2 linked regions of the Cricetulus griseus genome follow. The protein of the gene in region 2 binds, or shares a complex with, the protein of the main gene of each other region. Links are inferred from orthologs where the notes say so. Each region holds a gene or a part of one and is shown on either strand. Other genes may lie near its edges.

Evidence for each region.
Region 1: the proteins of Ckb (region 2) and Asb9 are in contact, whole or in part, in a cryo-EM structure (PDB 6V9H), measured with the Homo sapiens proteins. The link is inferred for Cricetulus griseus from reciprocal best matches to the Homo sapiens genes CKB and ASB9. Residues at the interface, in NP_001814.2 of Homo sapiens: Asn63, Pro64, Gly65, His66, Pro67, Tyr68, Ile69, Thr71, Arg130, Arg132, His191, Val198, Ser199, Pro200, Leu201, Leu202, Leu226, Trp228, Glu232, Ile238, Met240, Asn286, Arg292, Gly303, Lys304, His305, Glu306, Lys319, Arg320, Gly321; in NP_001026909.1 of Homo sapiens: Leu25, Asn27, Pro28, Leu29, Met30, Gly31, Asp32, Ala33, Val34, Ser35, Asp36, Trp37, Pro39, Glu42, Ile45, His46, Trp60, Ala67, Asp68, His69, Glu75, Ala100, Asp101, Trp102, Val111, Asp133, Leu134, Ser165, His166.

What each region holds. Positions count from the first base shown.
Region 1 is NC_048604.1:99,600,965-99,605,265, reverse strand, and holds the start of Asb9 (ankyrin repeat and SOCS box protein 9), read right to left. Parts: upstream 3,071-4,301; 5' UTR 2,950-3,070; coding exon 2,868-2,949; intron 1-2,867. UniProt on the Homo sapiens protein: Substrate-recognition component of a cullin-5-RING E3 ubiquitin-protein ligase complex (ECS complex, also named CRL5 complex), which mediates the ubiquitination and subsequent proteasomal degradation of target proteins.
Region 2 is NC_048598.1:182,359,546-182,364,015, reverse strand, and holds the start of Ckb (creatine kinase B-type), read right to left. Parts: upstream 2,908-4,470; 5' UTR 2,827-2,907; intron 2,565-2,826; 5' UTR 2,538-2,564; coding exon 2,345-2,537; intron 2,159-2,344; coding exon 2,004-2,158; intron 1,928-2,003; coding exon 1,795-1,927; intron 1,636-1,794; coding exon 1,464-1,635; intron 671-1,463; coding exon 547-670; intron 423-546; coding exon 233-422; intron 151-232; coding exon 1-150. UniProt on the Homo sapiens protein: Reversibly catalyzes the transfer of phosphate between ATP and various phosphogens (e.g. creatine phosphate).

The sequences.
Region 1 (4,301 bases), on a different chromosome or scaffold from region 2:
TTAGGCCCCATGGAATAGTGACATCAGAAATCCCTTTCTCTTTTTCTGTCCAGCTTACTGCTTTCACATCTTTGCTGTCCCCAAGTGCCAGTTCTTAGCCATTGAAAAATTTCTCCTTTCACTGGGTTGCAACCACAAGCCCTCTGAAAAACACTCTGAGGCTTCTCACACACAACCTGTATTCATCTCCTACCTTAGCCCCATATCATCAGGCTATGTGGGTTCGGCAATATTATTCATACTTTTATGTCCAAAATAGAACTCTGGAGAGCTAGCAAGAAATTCAATTTATTCAAAAGCTTGCCACATAAGCATGAGGACATGAGTTCAGATCCACCGCATCCCCCCAAAAAATCAGCTATGGCAATGCATCTGTAATCCCAGTGTGAGGCGATAATTGTGAGGAGGATCCCTGGAGCTCTCTAACAAGCTACACTTACTTAATCAGCAAGCTCCAAGTGCAATGAGAGTCCCTGCTTCAAAATATTTAGGTGGCAAGGGATTAATGACAACACACAATATTGACTTCTGACCTTCACACATACCTACATACATATTCATGTATACCCACACATGCACATACATGGACATATAACAGAGCTAGAGGGAGAGAATTCTGCATCCTCCCTTCCTTATTCTACTCCTCAGCCATCACCCTTTCCAATTTCCCTCTTAACTAGTTCAGTTTAACCTAATGTGAGGTTTAAAACTTCACAACTTAGGATGCTATCAATTTGCCACAATATTGTATCAAGCAGCACAATCCCATTGATCTTTCCTTCAGAATTGAAGCCCACTCTCCATCATTTCTGAAGTTTGACCTAGGTATCAGCTGTCTACATGGATTTGTGTGATGTTTCTTAAAGTGTGGTCCCTGACAATTCCTGTCTGCACCACTTAGGACCTGGTTGACAATGAAGATATCCAGGCTTCACCGCGGTCCTGTCACTATCACAGAAGCAGCATCACCTCCATGTTAACAACTCCTAGGTGATGCTGAGGCATAGGAGAACAAGTGGATTAGTTCAGCATGTTCTGTGTGTCACCATGATCTATCCTAACTGGGAGTACTATATAAATCTACTCAATAGTCTTCATTATTGCCATCGCTCTGCTCCAGAGCCATCAATGAATTCCAGTTTCCAACCCACAAAGCCTAACCCTGTCATAGCTTCAAAAGCTTTATCATCCAGTGGCAGTGGAGATGACTCAGTGAATAAAGTGCCTGATAAGGATATGAGTTCAGATGCCCAAAATCCATGTAAAAAGCCAAGCATGGGAGTATACACATTTGTCCCCAGTGCTAGAGGAGCATAAAAAGCACATCCTGGGGACTCATTGGCCATCAAGTCTTGCCGAAACATAATACTCAGATCCAGTGAGAAATAGACCCTGTCTCACAAAACAAGGTAGAGAGCAGTAGAGAAAGATACCCAGTGTTGACCTCTGGCCTCCACCTTCACACTCAAATATCAATGCATGCACTCACTTCCATGTGTGCACACACGTGCATGCATGAACAAGCTCCATCATCCAGTTCTGCCTCTCCAAATTGACTAAATTGACTCCAAGATACTCTCCATCCTAGTTTGAACAAGCTGTCCACTTTCTAAGCAGCAAAACCTCCAGGAGAAAATGGCTATTTCCTCTCTCCACATACAAACAAAAATAAAAACAGAAGACTTTGCTGTAAAGTGACTGTTGAGAACACCTCGGAATTCTTCATTTCCAACAATGATTGTATTGGTGCTTTAAAAATACTCATCAAACCCTATTTTGAGAATGAGTCTCAAGGCCACTCTAACTTCCTACTATTCCTAATCTGTGCTCCATACATACTGATAAATTCAGTTCTGACTTTGTATATGGAAGCCCTGCTTATAATTGAGGACTCCGCATAGTTTGCAAGGAAAACCATGTCAATGGGGGGATGATGTGCAAGCCTGTCTCCTCAATCAGAGATGAAATGGATTTTGTATTGTCTACTTTCTATAGTTTTCCACTTACATACCTGTACAGAAAGACATTATTAAGTCCTAAGGGACTTTAGAACTCCTGTTTATTGTCCTTCTAATAGACAAATGTTATGGGCAGCCTACCAAGTGTGCTGAATGTAATACTGTCTCCTTGAATGCTTAGGCCCAGAATTCCTTCATCTGGAACCTGCTGGATGTTTATAGGAGAGTGGCAGTGAGAGAATGCATGAGACCCTACATTAGCCAATGTATCACCCAACAGGGACAATTCATACCTGTGGGAAACCTTTGCAGCTTTTAAAAAATATTTCTAAAGTCAATCAACCAGCCAACATCCTTGACAAGCCTGGCTTCACCAAATACAAAATAGCTTCGAGAATGTTCTTATAAGACCTAGTGGGTTGGTGCACATATACAAGCATGTACACACACACACACACACACACACACACACACACACACAAACACACACCTATAATCTCAGCATCTCAGAGGCTGAGACAAGAGGATAATGAGTTTAAGGCCAACCTGGACTACACAGGAGACCAAAACACTGCTATTAATAAGTAACTCTTAAACCTCCTATTTAATAAGTAATATATCTGACCCACAAAAAATGATTCCTTGGAGCAAAAGTTTTCACCACTAGAAAATGCCCTGTGATAATTAAAATTTATTTCATTTTTTATGACTCTACAGATAAAGGTATATTTTTAAATAACCACTTAAGGAATTCAGACTAGAATACCTATGAGCAGATGTCTGTCCAGTTAGCTACCCTATGGATAACCCACAGAAAGACCCACTGATATAGCCCAGCTATTTTTTTTCTCTCTTGAGCACACTAACCACCCTCCCCAGCACTCTGATGTCACATTGTCTATGACTCACCCCCCATCAACGGATTTGAAAGGAATCTGAGATGAGGGCAGCCTCCTAGCCTCTGAAGCCTGCTCCTTCGTCCACCGTCCATTGTACTGTAATGGGTCAGGAAACTATGTTCCACTTCGGTTGCTCAGAAAAACCCGAATACCATGTTCCTGTTGCCCCTGGGAAATTCCAGTTCTGTGGCTGGCTGAACAGCACGCGTCCTGGTCCAGGCAGCCTGCAGCAGAGAAGAGCACAGGCAGGGTAATGTGAGTGCTACCTGTGGCCAAACAGATCCTCAGACACACACACACACACACACACACACACACACACACACACACACACACACACACACACTCAACACACCACACAAGCGTGCACACACATACACTCCAACTAGCAGACTGGAGAGCGTCCACCAGAGAAGAGCACAGGCAGGGTAATGTGAGTACTACCTGTGGCCAAACAGATCCTCAGACACACACACACACACACACACACACACACACACACACACACACACACACACACACACACACCACACACACACACACACACACACACACACACACACACACACAAACACACAAGCGTGCACACACATACACTCCAACTAGCAGACTGGAGAGCGTCCAAAGTCCACAACAGCCCCCCAGGCCTGAAGTCTGCAAAGTTGCTGATGTCATGCCCTTTCCTAAACTGAGACCAATCAGGGAGCAAGCTTTCGAGTTTATCAGGAAGGAAATATACACTTTGTAACTTTTGGAAAATGAAGGGAGCTGGGCTGTTGTGTAGGAAGGGGTTTGTTTGCTACTTAGGGGCATCTCAGACAAGCCCCAGCATCCAGGAGCCGAGAAAGCCGCTTTTGCAGCAGCTCACAGGAACGGCTTGCAAAGGAACATGCACAGCCCAGACTGGCCATCTGCACATGTGGTTTCAATTTTGCTGGGAGTGTATTATGGAAAAATGTGTCTGTATGTTACAAAAATGCAAGGGATAGTGGAGGGGGATTGAAAGAACTTGTTTTCCTCTTTGGGGGCTGCAAGTTCATTCCATGCCCTATTTTGCCCTTCTTGTACACGTTTTGATTCTACTTGTAAATAACTGCTGGCTGATTGCTGTTAGAAAAAAATGGATCACAGGGTCACCACAGGTGTGCAAAGAGACCCACTATCTTTCAATTGCCAGTTGGTAAGAGCGCTGCTTTGTTAAGGTGCCCTCAGTTTGTCCACATGAGGGTTTAGACTTTCAATCTAGGTGGCTTTTCAGTTTCAATTCTCCACCATAGTCTGGGGTGCTGTTTCCAGGCAATTACAGGTTTGAAAGGAAGCTGTGTGAGTTTGCTGCTTTTCCTGTCCCTTGTCTATTCAACATCCATGACATTCCCCTGCACCATGAAATGATAATGCCGTAAGTCACTTGCTCAGGAAAGACTCCCACTTTCCCTCTCTTGCA
Region 2 (4,470 bases):
TAGCCTGACCCTGCTCGAGCCGCTGTTCCATCTCAATAAGCAGTTTCACTCCGTCCACCACCATTTGCACCAGCTCCACCTCCGAGAAGCCCAGGCGGTCCGAGTTGGAGACGTCGAAAACTCCGCCGACTGCGGCGGTGTCCACACCACCTGGGGGGACAGAGGACAGGCAGGTGGGCAGGACTGAGGAAACCCGAACCTTCTGCCCGCACCTGTGACGACGGCCCCTCACCTGTGCCTCGCTTCTGAAGCCGCAGCCGCTTGAGCACCTCCGAGAACTTCTCGTGCTTGCCCAGGTGGGGCAGCTTGATGTGCACGCCGGCCCGCAGCCCGGTGCCCAGGTTGGATGGGCACGTGAGGATGTAGCCCAGGTGAGGGTTCCACATGAACTCGTAGTTCTTAGACTTGAAGAGATTTTCGATCTGGAGGTGGAGAAGGCAGAGTTCGGAGGGAAGCCTGGCTGGAAGCCCTCAGGGACCCCGGGAGGGAGACGTGGACTCTGGGATCTGCCCCGACCCCTCCCCGGCACCAAGCCCTCAGAGTGACCTGGGTGAGGCCAGTGCAGAATCGGGTGAACACTTCCTTCATGTTGCCCCCCTTCTGCATGGAGATGACCCGCAGGTGGTCCTCCTCGTTGATCCACACCAGGAAAGTCTTGTTATCATTGTGCCTAGGGGAGGGGTACAGTCAAGCCAAAGCGCTCCCCCCCCCCAGTACGGTCTTAGATCTCACCCAAAGACACCGTAGGTAGGTGACCTCAAACAAAGAGCTTCCCAAGTCATGGAGGTGCTTATTCTAGCGAGTGTGGCTGTCACAAGACTCACTCCCAAGTAAGCCCACACTGGAGGAAGGCAGGGCGAGCGGGGAACCACACACACACACACACCCCAGTCACCAATCAATCTCACACTCACACCCCAGTCACCAATCAATCTCACACTCACTCACACACCCCAGTCACCAATCAATCTCACACTCACACGCACACCCCAGTCACCAATCAATCTCACACTCACACGCACACCCCAGTCACCAATCAATCTCACACTCACTCACACACCCCAGTCACCAATCGCGCGGTGTGTGGCTGCAAGGGGCTGAGCAGGGGAGCAGCCCACCCCAGCGGAGGAAGCACACCTCCACACCTCCGCCCTCACAGTCCGCAGGGGTAGGAGCCCAGCGGGGACGGAGGGACGGGTGCGGAGGCTTTTGCGTCACCGGCGCCTGGCAGAGTCCCTGCGGGTCGGGAGTGAGAAGGAGCAGAGAAAACAAGAAGCGCCGGCTCCCGGGAGACCGGTCCCCACCCTTGAGTCCCTGGAGACTGCGGCCTCCCGCAGCGCAGGCATGTCACACCTGCGGGACCAAGGTCACCTGCCGAGGGCTGGGACAGGCTGACGCGGCAGGGGACCAGGAGCGCCGGCCTGACCCCACCCTCCGAGGGCTGAGGCGGGGAGGGCTCGTACCATATGCCGCGAGCATCCGGCCAGTCGCGGGCCATGCCAGAGGCCAGCAGCAGCGGCGACACGGGCTTGTCGAAGAGGAAGTGGTCGTCAATGAGCTGCTGCTGCTCGGCCTCGGTCATGCTCTTGAGCGCGTAGTACCTGCCGGACAGGTCTCCGTCCAGGCTGGACAGGGCTGCGGGGTGCAGAGTTCAAGGCCCCGGTGGGCGAGCGAGCCCCCCGCCGCCGCTCCGCAGGCAGCGAGTGCCCCCGCTGGAGGCTGGACCCGGGACCCTGCCCGTGCCCCGGGGAGACGCGCGCCGGTGACACCCGACCCGACCCGACCGGACCCTACCTTCCACCGCCAGCTTCTCGATGGCGCGGCGCTCCCCGCGGCTGCAGTGCGGGGGCAGACAGAAGCCGCGGATGCTGCGGCCCGTGCGCACCCGCGAGCTCAGCACGTAGTTGGGGTCCAGGTCATCGCCGCCCTGGGGACACACAGTGGTGGCGGCAGTGAGCGCCCAGCCCCCTTCCCCGGCCCGGCCCGGCCCGGCCGCCCCTCACCTGCAGGTTCTCGGGGTTCAGGTCGGTCTTGTGCTCATCGCTGGGCTGGTAGCCGCCGTGCCGGTCCTCAATGATGGGGTCGAAGAGGTCCTTGAACACGTCGTAAGTCTCCTCGTCGCCCGCCACCGCACCCACGGTCATGATGTACGGGTGGCCTGGGGGAGGGGCGCGGCGACACTGACGTCACCGCCAGGCTGGAGCGAGCTGCTGAGGCCTCTGCAGCGCGGGAAGGGGGAAGACCGGACCCCAGCCCGCCGGAGGTTGCGGGAAGGGCAGGGGGACCCTCGTCCTGGGGGTTTGTCGGGGAGACGCGAGCCTGACGCTCACAGGGGTGCGCATACCCGGATTGTCCACGCCGGTCTGAATGGCGTCGTCCAACGTGAAGCCGCTCGGTGTGCACTTGGCACGGAGCTCGGCGTACAGCTCGGGGGTCAGCACCTTGGCCATATGGTTGTTGTGGCTGCTCAGATCGGGGAATTCATCCTCGGCCGGGAAGCGCAGCTTCTGGGTGTTGTGGCTGTTGGAGAAAGGCATGGCGGCGGCGGCGGCGGCGGCGGCGGGCTGCGGGGAAGCGCAGGGTCAGGGGAGCTGTGCGCACCGCCGGCCCCCGGGGACCTGCAGGTCGCTCGGGACCCCCGAGGCTTCCCCCGGGCGCCGCCAAGGTCAGCGGGCTCCGCATCCTCTGCGCCCGTCGCCTGCGCATCCCCAGTCCCCTGTGGGTGCGGTGCGCGCCCCGCGCAGTGCGGCCGCGAAGGACGCCCCGGTCCCGCACCCCTCCGCGTGACGCCCCGCGCGGCCCCCCCTGACCCTGGGACCCGCTCACCGGGATGCCGGACGGAGCGGGGCGCAGTGTGCCTGGGCAGCTCCTGGCGCAGCGCGGACGAACAGCGGCGGCTCGCTGCTCCGGAGCTCTTAAGGAGCGCGTCGCCAGCCGCCCATTGGCGGCTATTTATAGCCCATTCATTCCATTGGCCCGCGCTTTGGGGTGGTGCCGCTGCTTTGTCCCTGGCAGCAGCCCTCGATATCCCCTAGCCGCCCACCCCAGCGATCCCCGAGTCTGGACCCCGGGCAGCTAAGCTATCCCCGCGGCGCTGGCACAGGATAACGAAGGCCCAATCCCTTACTATCCTGGACCTTCCTCATACACACTGCCTCGGGGCGGGAAACTGAGTCTGGAAAGCCAGCTGGTACTGGGGCTCCTGCCTTCCCCTCCTCCTGCCTTGTCTGGCAGACCGCGGTGGCTAGGGGGCCTGTTGAGGGCTTCCAGGTCTTTAACATTAGGGACCGGTGTCCACCCACTGCATCCAGGCCGTACGAAATGGCACAGAGCCACTGACCTTCCTCAAGGTGCCCGCGGGCATCTCCTGGGTGTTCTTTGTGCAGCACCAGAGGCGCAGTCTGGCTGTGGTCCAGCCCCGAAGCACCCAGGGTGTTCTGACATTGGGCGGGATCTAAGGAACCGAGCCAACACCCTTGGACCCAAACCCTGAAAGATTCAAGTCAGTGAGCTCTGAGGGGCTGTTTTCGAGTATCCAAACCTCCATTCCCTGGCCCTTTCCTCAGGGAGCGGTTCCTACCACTCCACCCACAAAGACAGCACCTACAGTCAGCAGGCAAACTGGGAGTGGAGAAAGCATCAGCCAAAACTAAGCTCGCCATTGGGTACCAGCACGCTCAAACAGTCTCTGTCCCCCAGCCCCACACACCCAGGTGTGGGAAATTGTAGAAGACTGACCCCAGACAGTGCCAACTGTAAATTGGAATGTGTGAAGACAGGCGTTTGCACCCCGCCTGCAGCTGCCAGCCACTCCATCTTTTCTGGAAAGTAATTTGGCAGTATTTATTAAAATAAAAAAATGGTCTAACTCCATGACCTAACAATCGCAGGAATTCTAGGAATCCAGCCTGTAGAAAGGACAGTGTCCCTTCTCTGCCAACAGATCTGTAAATGTGCAGTGGGAGAGAGACGGTCGCATGGGACCTGAAGCTCATCTGTGAGATGGGGAGGACACTGGCCGTTGGTAGAAAGGGCGCAGAATGGTGGTGGATGGTGCCGTGGGTAAAAAGCAGACAGCAGACGTGAGCTTTATGGGGCTTTATGGGGCGAGTGAGCCCTCACTCACTCGCGGCTGCACAAATAAAGCAAGAACCAGAGAACTTCTTATCCTGATGCATTTGTTTGACAGAATTCCTCGCTCCTTTCACAATGAGCCAGCCCAGGTACCCAGATGCAATGCGCACGGGGCACAGGATCACTGCCTTTCTGCTGGAGGCGGGCTGCCCCGAGCAAATGAGGAATGAGGGAGGGATGAGGGAATTCCAGGCTTGAGAGAATGTGCAGGTGCTTCAGCAGAAGGCTCTGGAGCAAAGAACTCGCGGCCCTGCCCGCCTCTGTCTGGGCAAGCGTGGAAAGCCAAGCTGCGGTGGGGCTGTACTCTCTCCTCAGAGCCACTCGGGGACTCCACCT